Xenopus tropicalis: one gene and its partners. The protein of the gene in region 2 interacts with the protein of the main gene of each other region in a biochemical or structural test. Links are inferred from orthologs where the notes say so. Each region holds a gene or a part of one and is shown on either strand. Other genes may lie near its edges.

Region 1 (10,027 bases), on a different chromosome or scaffold from region 2:
GACAGAGCCCATACTCACTGAGTGACTGGGGGGGACACACACTAATGGCTGACAGAGCCCATACTCACTGAGTGACTGGGGGACACACACTAATGGCTGACAGAGCCCATACTCACTGAGTGACTGGGGGACACACACTAATGGCTGACAGAGCCCATACTCACTGAGTGACTGGGGGACACACACTAATGGCTGACAGAGCCCATACTCACTGAGTGACTGGGGGACACACACACTAATGGCTGACAGAGCCCATACTCACTGAGTGACTGGGGGGGACACACTAATGGCTGACAGAGCCCATACTCACTGAGTGACTGGGGGACACACACTAATGGCTGACAGAGCCCATACTCACTGAGTAACTGGGGGGGACACACACTAATGGCTGACAGAGCCCATACTCACTGAGTAACTGGGGGACACACACTAATGGCTGACAGAGCCCATACTCACTGAGTGACTGGGGGGACACACACTAATGGCTGACAGAGCCCATACTCACTGAGTGACTGGGGGACACACACTAATGGCTGACAGAGCCCATACTCACTGAGTGACTGGGGGACACACACTAATGGCTGACAGAGCCCATACTCACTGAGTGACTGGGGGGGGACACACACACTAATGGCTGACAGAGCCCATACTCACTGAGTGACTGGGGGACACACACTAATGGCTGACAGAGCCCATACTCACTGAGTGACTGGGGGGGGGACACACACTAATGGCTGACAGAGCCCATACTCACTGAGTGACTGGGGGACACACACTAATGGCTGACAGAGCCCATACTCACTGAGTGACTGGGACACACACACTAATGGCTGACAGAGCCCATACTCACTGAGTGACTGGGGGACACACACTAATGGCTGACAGAGCCCATACTCACTGAGTGACTGGGGCACACACACTAATGGCTGACAGAGCCCATACTCACTGAGTGACTGGGGGGGACACACACTAATGGCTGACAGAGCCCATACTCACTGAGTGACTGGGGGGACACACACTAATGGCTGACAGAGCCCATACTCACTGAGTGACTGGGGGACACACACTAATGGCTGACAGAGCCCATACTCACTGAGTGACTGGGGGACACACACTAATGGCTGACAGAGCCCATACTCACTGAGTGACTGGGGGGACACACACACTAATGGCTGACAGAGCCCATACTCACTGAGTGACTGGGGGACACACACTAATGGCTGACAGAGCCCATACTCACTGAGTGACTGGGGGACACACACTAATGGCTGACAGAGCCCATACTCACTGAGTGACTGGGGGACACACACACTAATGGCTGACAGAGCCCATACTCACTGAGTGACTGGGGGGGACACACTAATGGCTGACAGAGCCCATACTCACTGAGTGACTGGGGGACACACACTAATGGCTGACAGAGCCCATACTCACTGAGTGACTGGGGGGGACACACACTAATGGCTGACAGAGCCCATACTCACTGAGTGACTGGGGGGGACACACACTAATGGCTGACAGAGCCCATACTCACTGAGTGACTGGGGGACACACACTAATGGCTGACAGAGCCCATACTCACTGAGTGACTGGGGGACACACACTAATGGCTGACAGAGCCCATACTCACTGAGTGACTGGGGGGGGACACACACACTAATGGCTGACAGAGCCCATACTCACTGAGTGACTGGGGGACACACACTAATGGCTGACAGAGCCCATACTCACTGAGTGACTGGGGGGGGACACACACTAATGGCTGACAGAGCCCATACTCACTGAGTGACTGGGGGGGGACACACACTAATGGCTGACAGAGCCCATACTCACTGAGTGACTGGGGCACACACACTAATGGCTGACAGAGCCCATACTCACTGAGTGACTGGGGGGGACACACACTAATGGCTGACAGAGCCCATACTCACTGAGTGACTGGGGGACACACACTAATGGCTGACAGAGCCCATACTCACTGAGTGACTGGGGGACACACACTAATGGCTGACAGAGCCCATACTCACTGAGTGACTGGGGGACACACACTAATGGCTGACAGAGCCCATACTCACTGAGTGACTGGGGGACACACACACTAATGGCTGACAGAGCCCATACTCACTGAGTGACTGGGGGGGACACACTAATGGCTGACAGAGCCCATACTCACTGAGTGACTGGGGGACACACACTAATGGCTGACAGAGCCCATACTCACTGAGTAACTGGGGGGGACACACACTAATGGCTGACAGAGCCCATACTCACTGAGTAACTGGGGGACACACACTAATGGCTGACAGAGCCCATACTCACTGAGTGACTGGGGGGGACACACACTAATGGCTGACAGAGCCCATACTCACTGAGTGACTGGGGGACACACACTAATGGCTGACAGAGCCCATACTCACTGAGTGACTGGGGGACACACACTAATGGCTGACAGAGCCCATACTCACTGAGTGACTGGGGGGGGACACACACACTAATGGCTGACAGAGCCCATACTCACTGAGTGACTGGGGGGACACACACTAATGGCTGACAGAGCCCATACTCACTGAGTGACTGGGGGGGGGACACACACTAATGGCTGACAGAGCCCATACTCACTGAGTGACTGGGGGACACACACTAATGGCTGACAGAGCCCATACTCACTGAGTGACTGGGACACACACACTAATGGCTGACAGAGCCCATACTCACTGAGTGACTGGGGGACACACACTAATGGCTGACAGAGCCCATACTCACTGAGTGACTGGGGGACACACACACTAATGGCTGACAGAGCCCATACTCACTGAGTGACTGGGGGACACACACTAATGGCTGACAGAGCCCATACTCACTGAGTGACTGGGGGACACACACTAATGGCTGACAGAGCCCATACTCACTGAGTGACTGGGGGACACACACACTAATGGCTGACAGAGCCCATACTCACTGAGTGACTGGGGGACACACACTAATGGCTGACAGAGCCCATACTCACTGAGTGACTGGGGGACACACACTAATGGCTGACAGAGCCCATACTCACTGAGTGACTGGGGGACACACACACTAATGGCTGACAGAGCCCATACTCACTGAGTGACTGGGGGACACACTAATGGCTGACAGAGCCCATACTCACTGAGTGACTGGGGGACACACACTAATGGCTGACAGAGCCCATACTCACTGAGTGACTGGGGGACACACACTAATGGCTGACAGAGCCCATACTCACTGAGTGACTGGGGGACACACACTAATGGCTGACAGAGCCCATACTCACTGAGTGACTGGGGGGGGACACACACTAATGGCTGACAGAGCCCATACTCACTGAGTGACTGGGGGGGGACACACACTAATGGCTGACAGAGCCCATACTCACTGAGTGACTGGGGCACACACACTAATGGCTGACAGAGCCCATACTCACTGAGTGACTGGGGGAAACACACTAATGGCTGACAGAGCCCATACTCACTGAGTGACTGGGGGGGACACACACTAATGGCTGACAGAGCCCATACTCACTGAGTGACTGGGGGACACACACTAATGGCTGACAGAGCCCATACTCACTGAGTGACTGGGGGACACACACTAATGGCTGACAGAGCCCATACTCACTGAGTGACTGGGGGACACACACTAATGGCTGACAGAGCCCATACTCACTGAGTGACTGGGGGACACACACTAATGGCTGACAGAGCCCATACTCACTGAGTGACTGGGGGACACACACTAATGGCTGACAGAGCCCATACTCACTGAGTGACTGGGGGACACACACTAATGGCTGACAGAGCCCATACTCACTGAGTGACTGGGGGACACACACTAATGGCTGACAGAGCCCATACTCACTGAGTGACTGGGACACACACACTAATGGCTGACAGAGCCCATACTCACTGAGTGACTGGGGGACACACACACTAATGGCTGACAGAGCCCATACTCACTGAGTGACTGGGGGGGGACACACACTAATGGCTGACAGAGCCCATACTCACTGAGTGACTGGGGGACACACACTAATGGCTGACAGAGCCCATACTCACTGAGTAACTGGGGGACACACACTAATGGCTGACAGAGCCCATACTCACTGAGTGACTGGGGGACACACACTAATGGCTGACAGAGCCCATACTCACTGAGTGACTGGGGGAAACACAATAATGGCTGACAGAGCCCATACTCACTGAGTGACTGGGGGACACACACTAATGGCTGACAGAGCCCATACTCACTGAGTGACTGGGGGACACACACTAATGGCTGACAGAGCCCATACTCACTGAGTGACTGGGGGACACACACTAATGGCTGACAGAGCCCATACTCACTGAGTGACTGGGGGACACACACTAATGGCTGACAGAGCCCATACTCACTGAGTGACTGGGGGACACACACTCATACTCACTGAGTGACTGCGGGACACACACTCATACTCACTGAGTGACTGGGGGACACACACTCATACTCACTGAGTGACAGGGGGACACACACTCATACTCACTGAGTGACTGGGGGACACACACCCATACTCACTGAGTGACTGGGGGACACACACCCATACTCACTGAGTGACTGGGGGACACACACTCATACTCACTGAGTGACTGGGGGGACACACACTCATACTCACTGAGTGACTGGGGGACACACACTCATACTCACTGAGTGACTGGGGGACACACACTCATACTCACTGAGTGACTGGGGGACACACACTCATACTCACTGAGTGACTGGGGGACACACACTCATACTCACTGAGTGACTGGGGGACACACACTCATACTCACTGAGTGACTGGGGACACACACTCATACTCACTGAGTGACTGGGGGACACACACTCATACTCACTGAGTGACTGGGGGACACACACTCATACTCACTGAGTGACTGGGGGACACACACTCATACTCACTGAGTGACTGGGGACACACACTCATACTCACTGAGTGACTGGGGGACACACACTCATACTCACTGAGTGACTGGGGGACACACACTCATACTCACTGAGTGACTGGGGGACACACACTCATACTCACTGAGTGACTGGGGGACACACACTCATACTCACTGAGTGACTGGGGGACACACACTCATACTCACTGAGTGACTGGGGGACACACACTCATACTCACTGAGTGACTGGGGGACACACACCCATACTCACTGAGTGACTGGGGGACACACACTCATACTCACTGAGTGACTGGGGGACACACACTCATACTCACTGAGTGACTGGGGGACACACACCCATACTCACTGAGTGACTGGGGGACACACACTCATACTCACTGAGTGACTGGGGGACACACACTCATACTCACTGAGTGACTGGGGGACACACACTCATACTCACTGAGTGACTGGAGGACACACACTCATACTCACTGAGTGACTGGAGGACACACACTCATACTCACTGAGTGACTGGGGGACACACACTCATACTCACTGAGTGACTGGAGGACACACACTCATACTCACTGAGTGACTGGGGGACACACACTCATACTCACTGAGTGACTGGGGGACACACACTCATACTCACTGAGTGACTGGAGGACACACACTCATACTCACTGAGTGACTGGGGGACACACACTCATACTCACTGAGTGACTGGGGGACACACACTCATACTCACTGAGTGACTGGGGGACACACACTCATACTCACTGAGTGACTGAGGGACACACACTCATACTCACTGAGTGACTGGGGGACACACACTCATACTCACTGAGTGACTGGGGGACACACACCCATACTCACTGAGTGACTGGGGGACACACACCCATACTCACTGAGTGACTGGGGGACACACACTCATACTCACTGAGTGACTGGGGGACACACACTCATACTCACTGAGTGACTGGGGGACACACACTCATACTCACTGAGTGACTGGGGGACACACACTCATACTCACTGAGTGACTGGGGGACACACACTCATACTCACCGGGATTTACTGACGGAACAACCTCTCACTCACAGAATGAGAAGAACTCGTAGGACTTACAGTAGTTGCGACAGAAGAAACTGAAAGCTAATTGGTTGATGGTGGACATGTGATATTGGGGAAACCCCTCCCAGTCACAGCAGGTTTCGTTTCCTGGTTTGCTTGGAGTGAAGCATGCTGGGTAGTGTAGAGCAACAACAAACGTTGTCCCTCCTACTGCAAACACAGAGTCATTCTGGGACTTGTAGTCCTGCCCCTGCAGTAAATACTGTAAGGGGGGGACAGGGGGCGGGCAGTTATCTGAATAGGAAAAAGGGATTAATTAGAATGGATTCCTGTGCTTGTTTTGTTATCCTATGTCCTCCTCCTATCCTACACAGCCCTGGGGCAGTAACCCCCACGTACTGTCTGCTACACAGCCCTGGGGCAGTAACCCCACATACTGTCTGCTACACAGCCCTGGGGCAGTAACCCCACATACTGTCTGCTACACAGCCCTGGGGCAGTAACCCCCACGTACTGTCTGCTACGCAGCCCTGGGGCAGTAACCCCCACATACCGTCTGCTACACAGCCCTGGGGCAGTAACCCCCACATACTGTCTGCTACGCAGCCCTGGGGCAGTAACCCCCACGTACTGTCTGCTACGCAGCCCTGGGGCAATAACCCCCACATACTGTCTGCTACACAGCCCTGGGGCAGTAACCCCCACATACTGTCTGCTACACAGCCCTGGGGCAGTAACCCCACATACTGTCTGCTACACAGCCCTGGGGCAATAACCCCCACATACTGTCTGCTACACAGCCCTGGGGCAGTAACCCCCACATACTGTCTGCTACACAGCCCTGGGGCAGTAACCCCCACGTACTGTCTGCTACGCAGCCCTGGGGCAGTAACCCCACATACTGTCTGCTACGCAGCCCTGGGGCAGTAACCCCACATACTGTCTGCTACGCAGCCCTGGGGCAGTAACCCCACATACTGTCTGCTACGCAGCCCTGGGGCAGTAACCCCCACATACTGTCTGCTACGCAGCCCTGGGGCAGTAACCCCCACATACTGTCTGCTACACAGCCCTGGGGCAGTAACCCCACATACTGTCTGCTACGCAGCCCTGGGGCAATAACCCCCACATACTGTCTGCTACGCAGCCCTGGGGCAGTAACCCCACATACTGTCTGCTACGCAGCCCTGGGGCAGTAACCCCCACATACTGTCTGCTACGCAGCCCTGGGGCAGTAACCCCCACATACTGTCTGCTACACAGCCCTGGGGCAGTAACCCCACATACTGTCTGCTACACAGCCCTGGGGCAATAACCCCCACATACTGTCTGCTACGCAGCCCTGGGGCAGTAACCCCCACATACTGTCTGCTACACAGCCCTGGGGCAGTAACCCCCACATACTGTCTGCTACACAGCCCTGGGGCAGTAACCCCCACATACTGTCTGCTACACAGCCCTGGGGCAGTAACCCCACATACTGTCTGCTACACAGCCCTGGGGCAGTAACCCCACATACTGTCTGCTACACAGCCCTGGGGCAGTAACCCCACATACTGTCTGCTACACAGCCCTGGGGCAGTAACCCCCACGTACTGTCTGCTACACAGCCCTGGGGCAGTAACCCCCACATACTGTCTGCTACACAGCCCTGGGGCAGTAACCCCCACGTACTGTCTGCTACACAGCCCTGGGGCAGTAACCCCACATACTGTCTGCTACACAGCCCTGGGGCAGTAACCCCCACGTACTGTCTGCTACACAGCCCTGGGGCAGTAACCCCACATACTGTCTGCTACACAGCCCTGGGGCAGTAACCCCACATACTGTCTGCTACACAGCCCTGGGGCAGTAACCCCACATACTGTCTGCTACACAGCCCTGGGGCAGTAACCCCCACATACTGTCTGCTACACAGCCCTGGGGCAGTAACCCCCACATACTGTCTGCTACACAGCCCTGGGGCAATAACCCCCACATACTGTCTGCTACACAGCCCTGGGGCAGTAACCCCCACATACTGTCTGCTACGCAGCCCTGGGGCAGTAACCCCACATACTGTCTGCTACACAGCCCTGGGGCAGTAACCCCACATACTGTCTGCTACACAGCCCTGGGGCAGTAACCCCACATACTGTCTGCTACGCAGCCCTGGGGCAGTAACCCCACGTACTGTCTGCTACACAGCCCTGGGGCAGTAACCCCCACATACTGTCTGCTACACAGCCCTGGGGCAGTAACCCCACATACTGTCTGCTACGCAGCCCTGGGGCAGTAACCCCACATACTGTCTGCTACACAGCCCTGGGGCAGTAACCCCACGTACTGTCTGCTACACAGCCCTGGGGCAGTAACCCCACGTACTGTCTGCTACGCAGCCCTGGGGCAGTAACCCCACGTACTGTCTGCTACGCAGCCCTGGGGCAGTAACCCCACATACTGTCTGCTACGCAGCCCTGGGGCAGTAACCCCACATACTGTCTGCTACACAGCCCTGGGGCAGTAACCCCACGTACTGTCTGCTACACAGCCCTGGGGCAGTAACCCCACGTACTGTCTGCTACGCAGCCCTGGGGCAGTAACCCCACGTACTGTCTGCTACGCAGCCCTGGGGCAGTAACCCCACATACTGTCTGCTACGCAGCCCTGGGGCAGTAACCCCACATACTGTCTGCTACGCAGCCCTGGGGCAGTAACCCCCACGTACTGTCTGCTACACAGCCCTGGGGCAGTAACCCCCACGTACTGTCTGCTACACAGCCCTGGGGCAGTAACCCCCACGTACTGTCTGCTACACAGCCCTGGGGCAGTAACCCCACATACTGTCTGCTACACAGCCCTGGGGCAGTAACCCCCACGTACTGTCTGCTACGCAGCCCTGGGGCAGTAACCCCCACGTACTGTCTGCTACGCAGCCCTGGGCAGTAACCCCCACGTACTGTCTGCTACACAGCCCTGGGGCAGTAACCCCCACGTACTGTCTGCTACACAGCCCTGGGGCAGTAACCCACATACTGTCTGCTACACAGCCCTGGGGCAGTAACCCCCACGTACTGTCTGCTACACAGCCCTGGGGCAGTAACCCCACATACTGTCTGCTACACAGCCCTGGGGCAGTAACCCCACATACTGTCTGCTACACAGCCCTGGGGCAGTAACCCCCACGTACTGTCTGCTACACAGCCCTGGGGCAGTAACCCCACATACTGTCTGCTACGCAGCCCTGGGCAGTAACCACAACTGTCTGCTACACAGCCCTGGGGCAGTAACCCCACATACTGTCTTGCTACACAGCCCTGGGGCAGTAACCCCACGTACTGTCTGCTACGCAGCCCTGGGGCAGTAACCCCACGTACTGTCTGCTACGCAGCCCTGGGGCAGTAACCCCCACGTACTGTCTGCTACACAGCCCTGGGGCAGTAACCCCCACGTACTGTCTGCTACACAGCCCTGGGGCAGTAACCCCACATACTGTCTGCTACACAGCCCTGGGGCAGTAACCCCCACGTACTGTCTGCTACGCAGCCCTGGGGCAGTAACCCCCACGTACTGTCTGCTACACAGCCCTGGGGCAGTAACCCCCACGTACTGTCTGCTACACAGCCCTGGGGCAGTAACCCCCACGTACTGTCTGCTACACAGCCCTGGGGCAGTAACCCCACATACTGTCTGCTACACAGCCCTGGGGCAGTAACCCCCACGTACTGTCTGCTACACAGCCCTGGGGCAGTAACCCCACATACTGTCTGCTACACAGCCCTGGGGCAGTAACCCCACATACTGTCTGCTACACAGCCCTGGGGCAGTAACCCCACATACTGTCTGCTACACAGCCCTGGGCAGTAACCCCCACGTACTGTCTGCTACACAGCCCTGGGGCAGTAACCCCCACGTACTGTCTGCTACACAGCCCTGGGGCAGTAACCCCACATACTGTCTGCTACACAGCCCTGGGGCAGTAACCCCACATACTGTCTGCTACACAGCCCTGGGGCAGTAACCCCCACGTA
Region 2 (10,071 bases):
AAAAATTTTGTGGTACGATCCGAAAGTTCACAAATTTTCGTATCTGAATGATCGTAAACAAAAAACTTTGACTTTGAGCCTTCAGTGCATGTTTCTGGAAGCCTCCCATAGGACCGTTACTGAATGAGTAACGAAACTTTTGTACTTGTTGCGTCAAATACAATTTTGTTGCAAAGTATGAAAAAGTTGGGAAACTAAAAAAAAAGAAAAAAAAATTTGCAGAAAACATGCACAGTTCTAAAACTTAGAAAAAAAATAAGAATTTTTAGCATTCGGACACAATCGTACTTTAATGAATAGGCCCCTATGCAACAACCAAGGGGTTGTTGCATCTAGCTGGATTTTTTAGATGTGTTCCTGAATTTTCAACTAATCTGGTAACCCTGCAATATGCCCCGCCTCCTGAAACTCATTCACAATCACTAATAGTGTTCCACTGCATAAAAGAAAAGAGCAGAAATGCTTACAGGTATGGAACCGGTTATCCAAAATGCTTGAGACCTCGGGTTTTTTAGATAACAGGTCATTCCTTAATTTGGATCTCCATACCTTAAATATACTAAAAGTTAATTTAAAAATCAAATAAACGCAATAGGATGGGTTTGCTTCCAATAAGTATTAATTAGATCTTAGCTGGGATCAAGAACAAAAGTACTGTTTTATCACTACAGAGAAAAAGGAAATCATTTCAAAGATGTGAATAATTTGATTTAAATGGAGCCTATAGTGAATGGCCTTTGTAATTCAGAACTCTCTGGATAATGGGTTTCCGGAAAAAGCATCCCATACTTGTATTTTATATACTGTATGTAAATGTTCCTGGGTGTATCTTTTCATGTACAGATCTTTGCTAAGAAAGGGCTGGTAATAAGAGGTTGCATTTATAGTAAAATTATGTGATGAGCTTTACTTTAAACTTACCCTTTAACTCAACTGGAAAAAATCCTGGATGTAGAAAAGCTCATATCCATATCTAATAGATAACAGGTTTTAAAAACTGAAGAGCATGCATCTCGAATGACGCCAATAATTTAGCAACCACTTTGACTTATCAAAAGGGGACGTCAAACACTAAAATTCCACAAGAGAGAAGGGTACCTTAGTGAAGGACTGCTGCTGCACTTACCCAGTACCATCAAGGCCAAAAATAACGTGGCAAATGAATGAAAGAAAATAAAGGTATATTGCAGTTTCAGAACAAGAGTCACTATTTGCCCCTTCCTATTGCAAATTGCTCTAATTTTTTTAATGTATTTTTAATCTTCTATTAAATTATCAATTCATAACAGTAATTTAAAATGAAAAAATAATCCATGGAAAAAAAACATTAACCTATTCTAGAATAGAATCTACTATAGGTATAGGATCTACTATGCAGAATTACCTGGAGATAATGAGGGGTCTTTCAATAATGTGCACTATGCTTTAAAAGGCAATAAAAAAAATAAATGTGGTATTTTTTTTTTAAATTCCCTCATTGGTGTAATTGTGCATTCATAGGGGAATCAATTGCGTCAGCCAAATGTCAAAAATGTGCATTTCTCACTACACAACAGTGTATATTTGGTGTTGGTTGAAAAACGCCATTAACTTTCCATGAGTATTGATTAAAATGCAACTACCATATGTGGATGAAATAAGCAAGATGGAACCAGCAATTCTGTGTCACTGCATGAATATGTGGAACAAGGTACCTCATTATAAGCAGGTTCCCTGCATCATTACGTTTCTGTAATTATGCCAAGGGACTTTTCAAAACCACACCATAAAAACACAATGACAGTCTATACAAAATAAAAATGTATAAGATTATTTTGCCACCAACATGGATTTATGCAAGCTTACTTACCCTCAACTATAAAATACTGTATTATTATTAGAGAAACAGCAACTGAATGAATGATAATAAATATCTGTTTCAAAGGTACAGAGATGGCACACATGGCAATTTCTGCCAGTTGTGTGTTTGAAACTGCTCTCTGCAGCCTTCCATTCACATAATAGGAAACTACTGACAGTGCCAGTACTGATGCTTTTTGTCAATGATGCTCTGGTGAGTGCTTTCAGGCTGAAAAGACATTTCCCATTCAAATAAATGAAGGGCAATTTCAAGGGCTTCTCTACTGGTCTCACCAACCTTTTTTAATGTGTATTATGCATTGAAAGTGTTTCCACTATACACACATCAACAATTCTCTATAATTCCAAAGTAAAACTATTTAGCTTGCTCAGTGCTGCATACCAGTACAGTAGACAAGAAGATGCCTCTCCTCCCATTAGAATAAATAGGGCTCATAGCAGAATGATAAACAAGCCCAACCATAATACTTAGTCAAAATCAGTAAATATCAACAGTAAATTTCACAAGCAAAATTAAATATATAGCACAGGTTTCAACTGCACACTTTTCACCTCTTAATTTTCCTCCCTTAAGATATACAGCTGGAAGAGAGGGTGCAGGGATGAAAACTGTATGCATGTTTATTGAGATACGAAACTAGGTTTCGTATGATATCATCGGTGCTTGTATGGCCAGCTTTAGTGTTGGACAGCAGCAGCAACCTCTTAGCAAGCACTAAAAACATACAATTTTATCTTTTGTAGCTGCTTGCCTTCAGTCACATGGGAATATTTGATAATTGCATATGCAAACTAAGCTTCATAAAGGCTAGCTAGCCGCACTGATTGATCTTTTCAATAACCCTTGCTATTAAGGGGATGTAAACCCAAACTAAATTTTGCTTAATACAGGAATATATCATTCTATGCAACTTTTTAATTTACATTCATTAACATTTTTCTGCTATCTGTAAATGTAAAATGCATTTAAAATCAGCATGTCTTTCCAGTTCTACAGGGGTGGTTTTAACTCTTAATGTAGTAAAATGCCATTTTATTTAGTCAAAATATAATTTTGGGTTTACAATCTCTTAACCAAGTGAGAGAGCTCTTCATTATATAGGTTTTCAAAATGAAAAATGGTTAATGCCTAGCAATCTTTTAAACGCACTTTTTTTTCTTTAAACAAACATATATTAGAACCGTGTTGTTCATACCAGTCTCCACAGCTCGCTCATCAAGACTGCTGAATTAGAATGTCCTCAGTGGAAAGTGGAGGGATTATGATCAATATGCAACTCTGACACATCAAACAATTGCAACTTGGTCTAACTGCATTTACATTTTGTCAACAGGTTCTATAAATATTCAACACAGTAAAAGGCTTAATCTTTCCCATAAGGAATGGTTGTGGGAAAGATCTTCAGTAGGCAGGTAGGGTAACTAAAAAAAAAAGAGCAAAATCATGTGAACTAGCTATAAACTGAAATAGAAATCAGGACAAGAAATATCATGAAAAAATGGTATGTAATAGTGAATAAAACTGAAAAATAAAGAAGCAGGCCAGTAAATGTACTGATGCCTTTGAACTCGAGTTAGTAATAACTTTTGAGAATACCACAGATAGCAAGGAACAAACATGGATCCTTGACAAGATCAAACCAGACTTTCCACTTGATTCGCTAATAAGAAAACTGAAGCTTTCTTATGTTAGACATATCAGAAGATCATGATAATTGCATTAGACAATTTATAAACGTTGAATGGAAAATAAAATGCATGCAGGCAATATCTATATTGTTGCCAAGGGTCAACACCCAATTGATGGCACATTATTTCACTGCATGTTATCTTATGTATGTTAGAAATACTCCAAGGAAGCCATAGTGAGATTCAGATTTGCTGTGTAGCTTCAAATAAATATTTTACATGTAAAATACGGTTTCATTTTAACTGCAACAGCAAAACAAACCAAAAACTTTTACAACAAATATGCATTAAATGATAATATGCATTAAAACAAAACATCTAAGGGCTTTTTAAGCCAAATGATTTTAACCGTTTGATTTTATTTAGTGATGCTGTCTACACCATCACCAACATCTCTCTCCCAGCACTCAGTGCAGCATTTTGACAGGTTGCCAGCAATTAGCTTTAGAAATTAAAGTGGTGTAAGCTGGAATCATGACAGGAAGTGCTGGTGATCTGTTCCTGCTGAATTAAACTACATATACCACTTTGGTGCATGGTTTATATGCCAGTTTTTCTGCATGTGTTACAGCGATGCACTTAAATAGCTACTATATTGAAAGCAAGAGTGTGCTATATTTTTCAATCTCATCACATCCAGCCACAAACTTCTTCCATTTCATCCGTGTATTTTGCGAAATGTTTTCTTTGTATATCAGATGTATGTAAGAAGTCCAGCAAAAATATTTAATTATACATGTGAGGTTGGAAAAAAGGTTCAAATACTGGTTAAAAGTATCTTGCATAATATATGATATAATTTAGACAGGAAATGTGGAAACACTGCTGACAATATAGAAGATGGTTGTCACTGATTCACATAAAAAAGTGAAGCAGATAGAGCTTAGCAGAGGCAGACATCCCAAAAAATGAACATTTAAAATATTTAATTAGAATTTAAGTAAAATCTGGGCTTCAGCACAGTACCTAGTCCAATATTGATATTCATAGGCCAATTTCCCAACCACTGTAAATGGCAATACTATCAACCTAAGTTACCCAACCATTTAGCATGAAGATTTAAAGGACAGATATCTGCTTCCTTCAGTGCCTCACATCATATGACATTCAACTGTATCTTTATTTGACTTAAAGGGATGATGCAACTTCAGAATAAAGTATATGCCATGCGTTCCACAAATAAATGTTGTGGCTGAAGTTCTGAAAAGCTAATAGTGAATCCTGTGGCAAAATATAACCTATCACAAGCTGCTGGGACAAGAACAGGTCTTCTGAGAGACTGCACATTACGCAGAGACACCACAAAAGAGGGAACCTGGTTGCCTCTTTAGAGCATTGACAGATGGAGCTACTTGTTGTGGCTACAAAATAGACAACAGTAAATATTCTCAATATGTGTTTCAGCAGAGACAATTCTCAGTATTATCTATAGAAGGGTATTTTCTGGTACTTTGTGGCTGCAACTAGTAGCTCTGTGTGTCATTAAGTAGTTTACCTAGAATAAGAATTCTTAATCTAGGTGTTGGGGAACCACAATGAATCCCCGTCCACGCTACTTAGGTTGGGTCTCCATAACCTTTACCTGACCGAAAACGCCACTGAAGAACAGTAATTACGAATTATAATATGGTGCTTAAAGGATCCTAAATTAATTAGTGGTTCGTGAGTTGTTCCAAAGTCACCTGGATACCCCAGAAAAACGTAACACTTACCTAGAAGCAGCTCTGCGCTAGTATTTAGTAAGGGTAAAATCCCCCTTAGCATGGCTCAACCAACAGCCATGTAAAAATGTAGAATACATTGGGGTACAGTGACAAGCAGAACTATTTGGCTCCCAATTTAACTAAATGAGGTGCAATAAATAGTGAGCCAAGATGAAATATACCCTCCTTACTAATCAATAGCCTACCTATATATAAAATGGTCTACTGCCGACACCTCTGCCGTCAATTGATGCAGTAAAATGCGATATAGCTCCTAAACACTAAGCACACGTATTAGTAATGGCATGCAGTGTCTGGGGGAGTCACCCTATGTGCTACAGTGTAACTCATTCCTATATACCCCCCCCCCCATATCTGTACCCTTATGTAGCCTTAACGCTAACAGACTACAAGCAAATGGCGTGGGTGTGGTCGGCACAAGGTTTTACTTCAAGCACAAAAAATAACGTTGTCCCCATATCCCCGTTGGGGTGGTTTCCTATACAAGGCGCGCACACATAGCGACCCCGGACCCTCAACCCCATCAGACATCACTACAGGCCCAGTACCACCCGGCGGGTGCCATGTTGAAGCGGGCTGGAGGGCGGGGACATTCCCGGGCCTTGTCTCCATTCATTCGGATCAATGCCGCTGATCTAAGCCCAAGACATAACGTAAAGCAATCGCTACTACTTCACTAGCTACAAGCCGCCAATTACCTTGATTATCCTGCGAGGCAGCCCGGCCATCCTGTCTTATAATGCGTGCAGCCTCCAACTCTCTGCGTGCCACCGGATCCCCCTGTCACGCACAAGTGAGAGCGCGGCATCCGCTTCCGCTGACGTCATTGCGACAGCCCACAGGCTCATGGGAGATGTAGTTGTAACGGGACTCGTTATTCCTCTCATGTATAATGATGTAATCACGCTTGTTGGTGTGTGTAGTCAGAATGTTCATTTTAGCCCAAGGAACAATGCTTAAGTGTTTCAGTATGTCTTCTATGCACTGCCTGTAGCGAGCATAGAAGACATTGAAAACCAACAAGACGTAAGAAACGAACAGTCGTGTTAGCATGATGAGGTTTCAGCTTCACCCCACCCCATACAGCTGGCGAGACAAGAAATGAAACTGGAGTCAGACTATGCTATAAGGCCTGAAAGTAGGACACCTTGAATAAAACCATATGACTTCACTATTATATTAGCAGAAAAAAAAGCAACTTCATATTAACACCCTCTGAATGTAATGTTAGGCAGGTAGCAAATGTTTTGATTCTTTTGGTAACAGAATATAAGACTCTACTTGAATAGAAGTCGGGGTAATAGTGTATAGAGCCAGTCTATCAGAAATTGTTTACACATTTTGCAGAAACCCCAGCATCAACAAAAGCTTAATTCATGGTGGCTTAGTGGACTGCCTTGCAGTGCTGGGATCCTGTATTCAAAACCAGTTTGAGCATGCAAGGAGTTGGTATGTTCTTTCTGTGTCTGGAGTAGCTCTGGCTAGTCCAGTTCCATCTCACACACCAAAAACATATAGATAAGTTAACTGCCTACTCCCTAAAATGCTTTCCCACTGGCAATAAAGTGACTTATTGGTGGAAAGGAATATGCAGCACTACATTGGCCAAAGTTTCTTGTGCAGAAAACATTGCATGACTGGAAAACAAAGTGACGTGTGTGCTTTCCCACCAGCGATCTGACTTTAACTGCAGGCGGCTAATCTCCCTGTGTGCCACTGCCCTTACAGTCTAAGGTCCCTATCACATTATGGTCAGTAAAATGAGTAACCAATTAACTTGCCTGTATGTTTTTGGTGTGACACACATCAGACATCATTACAGGCCCAATACCACCCTGCGGGTGCCATGTTGAAGCGGGCTGGAAGGCGGGTACATTCTCTGGGAACATACTAACTCCTTGCAGATAGTGCTCAAGCCATGTGTGCTTTCCCACCAAAGATTCATTTTATTGCCAGTGGGAAAGCATTTTAAGGAGATTTGTTGCCAAAGTTAGCCACAGACAACAAATCTCCCTGTGTGCCACTACCCTAATATCCAATGAAGCAGAAGGTGCCTCAGAAATATGTTGGTGCATAAATACCAGGAAATAAATACAAACATTCTAAAAATTTCACTTGGCAGGCCTCAATTTGTTACTCGTGCCCTAGTGAATTTAATCGCTAACCTTGCATCACAGACCTACATTTGTACCTATTTCTACTGAAGGAGATAATATATTTTTTCAGACTTTATGCTCACAAAGAAATTTTTGTTTCTTGTCATTCTTTAGTACCTTTGAGCGGCAATCAGGACTGGGCAGAAAGGTCTATGGATTATGAGCACTATCCCTGTATTTGTGTTTATGTGTAATTTTATTTATATAGTGCTATTTATGTATGCAGTACTCTACAGCAATAAATAAATAGAATAAACAGGGAGTCATTACAATAATAGGTCCAAATGAATACAAAGTACAGCTGAATTAAAGATTCCCCAGATTTAAATGTCAAAGAAACAAGAAGGTCCCTGCCCTGTAGAGCTCACAATCTGCATGTTTCTGTCTTTACTGAGGTTGCGTTTCACCAGGGACTTATGACCATTTTCTGAAGACACATCTGTCTGGGAATCATTTACATACCTTCCTACATATTTTTTTCCCTGGTTCAGTTCCTGTGGCGTTGGTCCAAGCCTCCAGTATGGCAGCAGTCCAAGCAAATAGATAACACAAGATGACTCACATGAAAAATACTTCATTTTTTATTTATTTATTTTTTATAAAGACAACTATAACCTGTATCCTATTTCAATTTAAACATGAAAACATTCTTGCTTTTACACAGGTTGAAATTAGTTGCCCTTTTTTTAAAGGGCCTTTATCTGCTTCCTAAAAAAAAAAAAGCAGGGGATTCTGAAAAGCTAAATTTTACATTTGTGTGCTAACAGTTGTATTTTCACTTTAAGTGGTAATTCACCTTTAAATTACATTGTAAAGCCAGATTTACGAAAGTTTGCATTTATTTTCATTTTCACAAATCATACTTTTTGGTGCTGAAAATCGTGTATTTTACAAATGAATCAAAAACACCAATTTATGTTAATTTATCAAGTCAACATTAGTGCTTTTTTAATTTGAGAGTTTTTTTATGGTAGAAAAATCCATTAAAATTACACAAATTTGAATTTGAATGAATCTGTCCCTTAGTATGATGCAGACAGTGACATTCTGAGACAGTTTGAGATAATACCTTGGTCAGTGACCCTAATTTAAGGGTTAGTAATATACTTCTAATTTTAATGCAGGACATTCCCAACCACAGTAAGAAACAGTAAACATCTCCAAAGTCCAGAAACTATAACTTACAAAATTTATGACAATTTGTGAATCTCACTGTAAATCACAATGTTAAGATCACATCACTGTTTTATTTAGTTCAATTAAAAAAATGTTTTAGCTTTTAATGGCATATACTATTTCCAGGCTCAGAGAGTGGCGATGGGGGCAAAATGTGCCCCTAATTAGGCCAATTTATATTTGGGATCATGGGAAAGGTGGTTATTAAAGGATAGTAAAATGGATGAACAAGTCTTACATCAATATATTAATGATATTGTTACAGTGCAGCAGGGTCCCCCACTGAGTTTGTGGATGCCTTAAATATAAACAGTTTCCATTTGAAGTTCACATACACATGACCAAACAAAGTTAAACTTCTTGGATGTCACATTGGAGGTAAATGGAGATAGGCTGATTGAAGCAAGTCTGTATAGAAAGGGAAAAAAAGAACACCCCTATCTGTCTATAATCCCCTCTAATGTACTTGTGCAGAGTAATCATATCCCCTCGCAAGCGCCTTGTGGACTAAATAAGAGTCTTAATTTTCAACCTTTTTTGGAATAGGCCCTTAGCCATGCACTGTGTGTATCTTGTATTTCTCTTTTCTTTCTTGAGTAGGGCAGCGAAATGCTAGCAAAGCTTCTGGTTAAAAACTGAGATGATTAAGGAAGTCTTGGCACATTATTGGTTATATACTGTACGTATAAACATAAAGATTTTTTTTTGTTTTGTTGCAGCTTCCCTGCAGTCTTTAAGAGATCTTGAGTACTTTATAAGTATTAGTCATATGATAAATTTTAGTAATACATTTACAGATTTTTGAAAGGAATACCTATTTTATATTCTTGTTAATTATTGTGGATTGATGCTCCTTTAAATATAGCAACCTCACGGATACCTTTTTGGTTATATAATGTGCTTTACACAGTGGTTAACTGGATGCATGGGCACTTGAATGTTATTATAGAAGTTAATCTGGAGCAAAGTGGAGTTACTATAGTTACATTTGGAACTAGGGAGGGTTCCCCTTCAAAGGAGCACACATCCTGTGACATCACACAATCATGTGACATAAAGAAGCTGGCCTTTAATATACACAAGCGCATAATGTACATTCATTTGGCCAGTTCACAATTGATGTTCTCAGTACAGAGGGGCCCCTCCAAAGTTTTTGGTATTACTCCTTGCTTGTTTTTATGGGAATGGGAAGTACTTTTTAATTAAACTAAATTAGACAGTGATGTGATCTTAACATTTTAATGTTGTTTAATCGTAATAATTGTAATTTACAGTGAGATTCATAAACTGTTGTGAGTTATAGAACCTTATTTAAGAGCTGAAAAGAGAGGCAAATGAAGAAGGCAAATATAAACAAATTAAAATTAAAAAGTTGCTAATAAGACATTACATAGTAAATGTTAATTTAAAGGTAAACTACCTTTAAAAATACTTATCTCTCCTTATTTTTAATACTAGGCGCCTAA
Region 3 (9,971 bases), on a different chromosome or scaffold from region 2:
TTACTCACATAAGCTGGAAATAAAACGGGCCTGCCATCCTGATACACTACAGCGTGCATGAGCTAGTTATTGGCAACCAGTTATGTTAGGAATGCACCCTGACAACGCTGTATAGTTAGCAGAAAAAAAATAACAAAACATGGCATTGTTACTAACAGTCATATGAAAAGAAAGTTAAACAGCTCAACAAGCAGAGCTCACCATTAATACCCTTGCTCTTAGCAAGACAGTACTGGAAAGAACGCATTTGGTTTCCCCTCTTCTGTTAATTGGGAACTGCAAGAAAGGTCTGGATGGGTTACCTTGGTCACAGAATAAATTCTTGAGTGAGATGGTGGGGGTTACCTTTTCTTCTTCTATTTCACCACCTTTCCAAACACCACACACAAATCTGCATTGTCCACAGTTTACCCAGTCATTTAAATGTGCAAAATCTTAATTCATTAAATGTAATAACTATAAGGGTAGCACCTCAGCATGAACAGGCGCCTGTTTGGGAAGCACTGGAAATAACCCTGGAGGAGACACATCACCTTGCTATCATTGAGCATGCAGTGTTGTCCAGCTTCTTCTGTGGTATAAGCCAGTTCAATAAGAATATTTCAAATTTTTTTTTTAGAGAGCCAAACCTCATAAAACAGGGATTGTTGGCCATCCTTCAATTGTAACCCCACAATTAACTTGCAGCCTACCGTATGAGAAGCCCTGCTCTACAGGGCCCTCATATGCACAGTCTCCTCCCAGTCATAAACAAATAGAAACGTTCAGTGCAAAGTGCCATGAACAAAAAAAAAAATTACACACATTTATCATGGCATCAGACTGCAACAAATCCTATGTCCAGGGACACAGAGAGGTTAAACATTTCCCTTTTTACCCTCTGCGTTCAAATCCCTTGACAGCTGCAGAGATCCATTTCACCTATGAACTCATGTCACCGCCGTCAAACAATGTTGATGGGGCTGCTTAAAAACATACCATTTCTGGCTACAGCATTACGGTTCTCCCCCCTCCCCAATCTGTTTTCCCCCAACACCTTTATAAGAGAATTATGGGATATATTTCAGTGTTGCGGTTTCCCATTTCTCCATTTTAGGGAAACAGAAGGAGTGCAGGGAAAAAGGGGACATGTGTGAAAAGCAGTTCAAACAACCCTGGCAGGACGCAGAATCCAGTCTCTGTGATCCTAAAGCGGCTGACACTCCGTGCTCTGAAAAATAAAAGCAAATTGTGAGTAAAATTGGCAACTCTGATCAAATAACCCAAGTACGTACCGCAGCCTCATCACTAAAGAAAATGATCCAGTGTATATATATAATTTTTTGTGTGCTCTTCTGTGACACTGCTCTTCGGCAAGCACCAATCAAACCATTAAGGGGCAGATTATAGAAGAACTGGTGTCACAGGCATAAGGGGCAGCTTCTGGGGAGGATTTTTTTTCCCATCACAGGGCAGATATACTGCCAAGCTGTGTAAAGTAATTCTAAGTCAAGGGGATACATCTGATGAAATATTGCACATGTAGTTAATAAGGTAGTAAAATTAGGTCTGCTAGTCTACAGCACACTGAAGATATAGAACAGCAAAAATACACACACATCTGTCATAACACAAAAACCAGGTCAGGCTAAAAAATATACACAGCAGGCATGACCCATTTTTAGATGCACTGCTTGATGCAAGACACTAAAGCGAATGTAAATGTTCTGTGCTTCTGGGAACATCACCACATCATATTCCCTGGATAACAGAGTTCCTGCATATGACAACACTTCACATTCCAACACTGCTGGGCTTGCGCATTCCATCAGTGTCCACAACAACACATCTATAAATTGCACATCAAACTGGTCATGCCAGGAAACATGCTAGCATCATTTCTCAGCATAACCAGTTTGTTGTGAAATGTGCATTTAATGCCCAAGAGACATAAGTAACTTATAAATAAATAAATGCTTATGCGCTTAGTCAAACAAATCTCTGAAACTTGTGTACAGAAAGTAAAATAAAGTACCTGTAACTTTTTAAGGAGTGGTTCACCTAAAGTTACCTTTTAGTATGCTATAGAACATCCTATTCTTAGCAACTTTTCACTTGGTCTTCATTTTTTTTTTTTTTTTTTTTTTTTAACTATTTGTATTCCTCTTCTGCCTCTTTCTAGCTATCAAATGGGGGTTACCAATCCCTGCAGCCAAAATACTACTGCTCTGTGAGACTGCAATTTTACTGTTGCCTTTTATTGCTTAATCAGACCCTTTCCTATTCATATTCCAGCCTCTCATTCAAACCACTGCTTGATTGCAGGAGTAACTTGGACCCTAGCAGCCATATATTTGCTAAAATTCCATACTACATAGCTGCTGATCAAAGGGCTAAGTAATTATAAGCACAATAAAAATAACACATGAAGACCAATTGCAAATTGTCTCAATATGTCACTGGCTACCTCACAAAATTAATTTAACAATAAACTACAACATAAAATATACAGATAAGTATATTTTAAAGGTCTAGTAATTAAATTGCTAGTATTAAAAAATATAACTTTATACCATGAATGGCAAAAACCAACTCCACCATTACACACACTGGAGTTAAGGGTAGAGAGCGGCACCAGGCCTGCTGCCTCAGGTGTCAATAGACCTACTGCAACCCTGCATTCAATGGTTTTATGTATTTCTAATATTGTGATTAACTACAGAGAGTTCTATCCATATGGTGAAGGGCTTAAACAATAATAAGCCAAAAAGTCGAATGACAAATTAATTTATATTTTGATTTTTTAAAGAACTCCCATGACACAGGAAGGGGTGTTTAAAATGTAAAGGTGCAATATGATTTTTCGCATTTACCAATTTGTTAGCTCTCTCTCTAGTGTTAAGTGTAATTGTTTAAGCAGGAAAGGTTTTACATACCTTAAGGGAATTTTAGCCTGGATTGTTGCAGGTCAATCGGAAGGATGTTCAGGACAACATCTGTTCACCTCAAACCAGGAATCTATACAGCTGCACATGTAGGGAGAAGAACAAGAGAAATTAAGGAGAAGTGAGGAAAAAAAAAAAAAAAAAGGGTAGGATATCGTGAACAAAACAATCACGGTTAAGAATGGAAACACATACTATGCACATAAAAGTATGTAAATTTAGAGAATGGAAAAAACAACAGCATGTGGAATAGAGATGTCATGGAATGGAAATTAAACAAAACCCCCACAGAAAGAAAAACACAGGGAAAGGGAAAATAGGCAATACAAGAAAGCATACAGAACATTATTAGAAAAGGTTACACAGAACAAATAAAAGACTGATGAAAGAATGGTTAAAGTGTGCCAAACTGGAACACATGCATAGGGGCCAAGGAAGAAGAGAAACAAGGGCAACAATTACACATTAGAGGGCAGGTGAAACAGAACCAGTAATGGGCACAGGTGTCCAGCCCTGTTTTGGCATAATCTTAGTACAATTGCGCAGCTTGTTTAGTAGGATACAGAAGGGCTAATAACAACCCTAATACTTAACAGGTACAGTGACAGGCTTTAGAAGCATTTGGTTACTAAGAATGCGTAGGGGATTTCAGTGGCCATTGATATCATTTATACCTGTACCAATGGTTGCACAGAAGTGCCAAATACAGTATGTTAATACATGTTAATTACTATCACCCAACTTTATGTATTATAAGAGACAATGTACCCTGTAATTTCAGAGTTGTGCCACTTGCATAAATACCCTTGAGCTGGTACCTTATTTGCTTTGGTATGGAACTCCTTTATGCCTTTTAATAAATTAGGGGATGCAACATTTATGCATACTACTTTGTTATATACACAACATGCATGCTGCAAAGTTACTACTGAAAACCTCTAATCCATCCCTCTATTCTTCCTCGTTTCTTCAGTTTCCTCCTTTTGATATCATTTGGCAGTTCAGTTTACCACTATTTTGCATTCTCTGTGCTTTATCCATCTTCATCTCCATGTTTCTAATAGTTGTTCTCATGGCCACAGCCCCTGCATGTTAAAGTGGCTCTCTAAGCCCTAGATGTAACCTGAACAGCCTATTAGGCTTTATATACTGCACACACTTTTTTTTTTTATATAGATAGCATATAATTACACAAACAATATAAATCTACCATGCACTTTTATTGAACAGGTGCAGAATCCAGACAGGTCCAGGAATGCTTGCTTAAAAAGTAACCCCTAAAAAAAAGCTTAATCGGCAAAACATTTGCCAATTGTCTGAGTAATTAAACAGCTTAATAATAACAGTTTTGTGATGTATATGCCTGTTCTACAAATATAAAACCTAATAATTAATAGTGATCACTAATTGCCCAATACTCTATGTTTCCTTAATTTGTTTCTCAAACACTAGGATAAATGCACAAGCTTTGGTAACACCCTTAATTGGCAAAAAACGATTTATTGGCTGTATAATAACCATTTTTATGACAGGTTTATACATATGATGAGTCATTAAATGTGTTTCAAGTAGACACCTGACACATAAGGACTTCCAAAGGGTTCTGGTTTGTTAGCAGCTGCAGGGGAGGCACAAGTACAAGCAATATCATCGGGCAGTAATTGCCCCCTGGCTAGCTGTCAGCAGAAACATATTCTGAAAGCATGGGTTACCACAGTAACAGCAATGCACATCAGGGTGGGACATGTGCCAAGTAACCAGGGCAACTATTTCTAAAGCGCTGCAACGTGTCTGTACCAAAAGGGAGTAACCAAAATACAGAACGATGAAAGCCATCAAAACAGGAAGTACACATGTTAAAGGGGAAGCACCTGACAAGATATAAACAAAAATAAAATCTACAAGAAAAAAAAACCCAAAAAACTAGCAGCAGCAGTATGAAGTGTGGATAAAAGGTGCACTAAAAGAAGAGAAGGTTGCCAGGAGTAGAGATATTGTAGCAAAAAAAGGACGCTATAATATTTGTGTGTTAGATAATAAAACTACAAGTTGACTGCTAGGCATTAAAAAGCTAGTTGGGCAGAATCCCAGAACATAGGGGGGGGAAAAACAGGATTCACACTATTTCTTTCTTATCTTTTTTCCTAACATACTGTAATATTCACTAACTAACTTTTGGCAGGCAATCTATGCAGCAGTCTTCAGGACACTGCACACTGGGCAATCAAAATAGGGCACTTGTTAGAGATATTCACAGAACTGCCCCATTCCAAATAGGGATTTGGCCATTGAAAACAGAGCGCGTAATGCTATTGAGATTTCTGTATGAGTTGAATCAATGTTAAGAAACATAACCCTATAACATTCATCAACAAATAAATAAAAAGATCAACTTGTAGGGGTTTATAACCTGTGGTATACTAAAATACTTGTTGTGCCCCAGTACATGACTTCAATACAGACTGAACATACTTGTGTGTGAGATAAATAAATTCTGAACTTGGCACGTAGAAACATGACATAAATCATAAAATATACATTACCTTTTGTGGTAGATGCACAGACAGGGCAGTCTGGCTATTGTATCCCCTTGTGAAAGTTCTTCCAGGCAGATTACACACTCACCCGCATCCCTAGTGAGCACATCATCTGCACAGGGAAATTACAATGCTTACAATGCATGGAACATACTACAGTAGTGACATGAAAGTTCAATATGGCAAGTTGAAGGAAGTTACTAAAAATTACACCAGTAGCAAACTGCTAATAAAAGTGTTATATATGATGCAGATAAAAACAAATGCTTGTTTTGTTTATTGTCAGTTGCCTGTAATAATCCCTTGTAGTCAATGAAATCAGGCTTTTTCCTAATAAAAAATAGACAACTTCTAATATAAAATTAAAACCTACTGGGCACATGGGGGCTAATTGTAAGCACTGGTCAAATTTGCAATTTTATATCTGTGATATGATTATTCAGCTAGCTGCAGGTCGAACAATGAAAGAAAACTACTGATTGGTTGCCATGGGTTACTGCCCAGGTGCCAATTTGCCCAGTGTTTATAAATGACCCCCCATGATTTATAAAAGTCACTCCATGGAGATGCATGGGTTTGTGATTTCTTATGTGACCTGTTTGGTTGGTCCACATTTGTTGAATGCAGCAACTATTTTCAATAACCTTATTGCACTGCATGGACCCATTCAAATCCTGGAGGAATTCTTTAGCTGACTGAGCATCACCACTAACTGCAGGGCAATCAGTCATACTGGAACCTTACTAAAAATGCCAATGTGCATAGGGCACAAAATATAATTACAGAATAGCCTACACTTGAATGTGTAGATTGAGACAAATGCTAGAAAAAATATCTGTGCTGCTTGCTTATAGAAACCCTATTTTAGTCAAACTCAAGCTGTTACCATGGAGAAGAAACATGTACAGAAAGGCAGTGTCCTTATTTATACTTTTCTCTTCTGTAAGTCACATCCTTCAAATAGAGCAAAAGACCTCCTGCAAGGAAAGCGTACCAAGCAATTCTATGCTGTACGCAAATTAAAATCTACCATAAGAAGCAGTGATTGTGCTTCTATGATTTAGATAAGAATTTACATAACTTCTCACCAAAAACCAGAAATTCCAAAAAAAATACCAATACCTACCTTTAAAGGAGAAGGAAAGGTAAAAACTAATTAAGCTTTATCAGAAAGGTTTATGTAAATACAGCCACAAGCACAGAGAGTCCTCTATCAAAAGAAACAGGATTTCTTCTCTACTTTTGTGTATACATGTACTTTGGTATCTGACTTCCTCTCTCAGAAAAAGAGTCTGTGCAGCTCTCTCCTGCTACCCACTCTCATAAGAATCCATAAGAACTCACTCCCCCTCCCATCAGAATGTGTGATCTATGCTACCAATGGCTAGAGCTGCTGCAGGAAGCTACAGAGACCAAACTAAAATGGCTGCTACTATCTTAAACAAATTGAGGGAGCTTCTATGGCTGTTTACTCAGGTACGATGAAGCTTTCTGCAGAATTAATATAGAATTCTAGCTTGCCCTAATGTGGTGAATGGCAGTAAAATGCCAAAATGGCTTCCCTTCTCCTTTAAAACACTGTTATTCTTCCTAAACAAGCTGGAATTACATTAAATGCTTTCCAAGGCAACATTACATCACTTTCTACAGCTCAAAAAAATATCAGAAGAATAACCAGTTAAGACTTTGCGAAATATACATCCGAATACAAACCTATACAATAGACTTATTATTTCTTTGAATGACAATTTCCTTGACTTAACAGAGGAAACTGCTTTCAGAAAAAAAAATATTTCAGATTAATGTGAAGGTTAGCAACACAAGCTTGGTGCAATACATACCATTATAGGACAGTCGAGGTTTGCTCAGACACATGATAAAGTGCATCTCCATCTCATCAGGGGCCACAGACTTGGAACAAATTGGGCAACGAAAACCTATAGACACAAACAGAAAAAAAAGCCTGATAATGCTGAAAGGGACGGCAAGCCTTAAAATAAACACTTTCTTTTTTGCTACAATATTTTAGAGAAACATTACAAAAAGCAGAACAGCAGTGCTGGAGATAAGTATCTAAGCAGGAAACAAATATTCATTATGCAAGTTTATGAAGTGTTGAATTCTGGTTTACATGATAAAACATCAAAGATGACACTTGAAAGGGTCAGTAACACCATCACATTAAAAAGTCCTTTATTGGTAGTACATAATGTACTCTTTAATTTGCACTTTTGAAATTCTGCATCATTTCCAGAAAATATGATCATTTTCTTTCAATATACATTCATTTTTCAGAACTGTGCAAACCAAGTTATGCCTAATTAATATTGAGGGCTGTTTTAAGGCCTTGGTGGGCCCTGGGCAAATACCCTCTACAATACCATCACTATATAATTACAGTTACACATTCAATATTAAATGAATACGGTCACGAGAAAATATGTTTTTTTTTTTCAAAATGCATAGATTTCCTTCAGCAGAATTTTGCATTTTTTATACTATATTTTGAAACTTCCCATGGGACTAGCCATATTCTTCATTTCCCAGTGTGCCACAGCCATGTGACTTGTGCTCTGATTAATTACAGTCCGTCTTTACTGCTGCTTTGCAAGTTGGGAGTGATATCACCGCCCCCAGAAGCCAATCAGCAGAACAATGGGAAGGTAGCAAGATAGCAAGTCCCTCACACCTACATTGCTAAAAGTGGCAGATAACAAAATAGCACTCAATAGTAAGAAATCCAAGTCTGGCTTGGGACCCCTCCAGTTACATGGGAGTAGGAGGAACAATAGGTTATCTGAAAGCAGTTCTAACATGTAGCACTTACTCCTTCTGAAAGTTCAGAATCAGGCACAATGCACTGAGATGGCTGCCTACACACCAATATTACAACTAAAAAAAATACATTTGTTGGTTCAAGAATAACAACATTTTAAATGGTAGAGTGAAATAATAAGTACACCATAAAACATGACAGAATATATTAAGATAAAAGGAAAAACAAAAAGTAGCATTTAGTACTACAGGTAAAGGACCCGTTATCCAGAATGCTCGGGAGCAAGGGCATTCCGGATAAGGGGTCTTTCCGTAATTTGGATCTCTATAACTTAAGTCTACTAAAGAATCAATAAAACATTAATTGAACCCTATGGATTGTTTTGCATCCAATAAGGATTATTTATATCTTAGTTGGGTTCAATTACAAGGTACTGTTTTATTACTACAGAGAAAAAGGAAATTGGTTTTAAAATTCTGAATTATTTGATTAAAATGGTGTCAGAAGCAATTCTGAGAAAACATGTAAATATGGAACTGTGGACGTTTATTTAAGGAGTGGTTCATCTTTAAATTACTTTTAGTATGATGTAGACAATGATATTCTAGGACAATTTGCAATCGGATTTCATTTTTCATTGTTTGTGGTTTAATTATTTACATTTTATACTGAATGTTGGAGGCAAAAAAAAAATATGGTTGGCCCAAAATTATTCTGAATTACCATCACGCAAGAAAGATTCCAGCAAATGCAATAATATCTGAGACAAGCTAAGGCCCAAGATAGAGGCATAGTGATAAAGCAGCATAAATAGGCACAAACAAGGACAATTTAATAAACTAAACACTGATGACTGACTACACAATGGAAAGAAGAATTTTTGAGTGAAAGATAAAAAGTGGCCTACGCCATACAGCAGCCCATAACAACAGCCTGAGTGGGAGTGGGACAGGGTGTTTTATGGCTTTTTTTTTCCCTACAGCTGCTCCATGTCTCTGCAGGTGCTGTGTGTGGTAAAAAAAAAAAAAAAAAAAAAAAAAGCTGAGCTGGCGTGGAGCATAATTGTTGAGCAATTAATGAGCAAATGCACCAATGTGCAAGAAAGACTAACTCTGTGTTATTAAGAAGGACTGGAAGGTCTGAGCCTGAAGCATTCGGGTGGCAGCCCTCTCTACTGTAAGTAACTTGGTGCCAGTGTGGTATTTAAAGAAAGGAGCCGGCCCATGTAGAAGGTAAGTAGTCAGGGTCACTGGAAGGCACCTAACAAATTGTCAGCAAACCAGTTATTTAAAGTTTCCTTCTTCAGTTTTAATTTACTTATTTCCAGTCCATTATACAAAGTAAAGCCATATTTTGAAAGCATAACATTTCAACATAAAATAGTTACAGGCCTATAGTATCAGGAACAGAAAATGTGTGCGGTGTTCGCTTCCGATGGTATGTCCACAAGCCAACACGTGTTTTAGAAATCTTTCAATTCCGTGGCCTAAGTATCATACAGCAGACCCTGCAGATGCAGGGGTGAGGGGGGTCTGGTGTATGGTAATTCCCCCCCTTTTATGTCACAATGTCAAACTGAAGTTTTGAAGCGGTGTATGGCCCTCTATGGCTTTCAAATAAATGTGCCTGCATATTGTCTGTTCTAGCAAAATCCTGTAAATTTAACAACTTAATACTTATAAGCTCTTATGTTTTTGATCATATTCTTCTTCACAAAACATATTTATTATATTT

What was found.
Region 1: the proteins of ube2n (region 2) and trim25 form a complex in vitro, tested with the Homo sapiens proteins (3 studies listed by BioGRID, with this or other methods). The link is inferred for Xenopus tropicalis from reciprocal best matches to the Homo sapiens genes UBE2N and TRIM25.
Region 3: the proteins of ube2n (region 2) and znrf1 form a complex in vitro, tested with the Homo sapiens proteins (3 studies listed by BioGRID, with this or other methods). The link is inferred for Xenopus tropicalis from reciprocal best matches to the Homo sapiens genes UBE2N and ZNRF1.

Annotation. Positions count from the first base shown.
Region 1 is NC_030686.2:52,265,536-52,275,562, reverse strand, and holds the start of trim25 (tripartite motif containing 25), read right to left. Parts: upstream 6,328-10,027; 5' UTR 6,072-6,327; exon of another isoform or gene 6,012-6,071; intron 1-6,011.
Region 2 is NC_030679.2:56,093,249-56,103,319, forward strand, and holds the start of ube2n (ubiquitin-conjugating enzyme E2 N), read right to left. Parts: upstream 6,020-10,071; 5' UTR 6,002-6,019; coding exon 5,972-6,001; intron 1-5,971. UniProt on the Homo sapiens protein: The UBE2V1-UBE2N and UBE2V2-UBE2N heterodimers catalyze the synthesis of non-canonical 'Lys-63'-linked polyubiquitin chains. This type of polyubiquitination does not lead to protein degradation by the proteasome.
Region 3 is NC_030680.2:74,499,992-74,509,962, forward strand, and holds part of znrf1 (E3 ubiquitin-protein ligase ZNRF1), read right to left. Parts: intron 7,399-9,971; coding exon 7,303-7,398; intron 5,574-7,302; coding exon 5,468-5,573; intron 3,006-5,467; coding exon 2,948-3,005; 3' UTR 2,916-2,947; intron 1,211-2,915; 3' UTR 1-1,210. UniProt on the Homo sapiens protein: E3 ubiquitin-protein ligase that plays a role in different processes including cell differentiation, receptor recycling or regulation of inflammation. Mediates the ubiquitination of AKT1 and GLUL, thereby playing a role in neuron cells differentiation.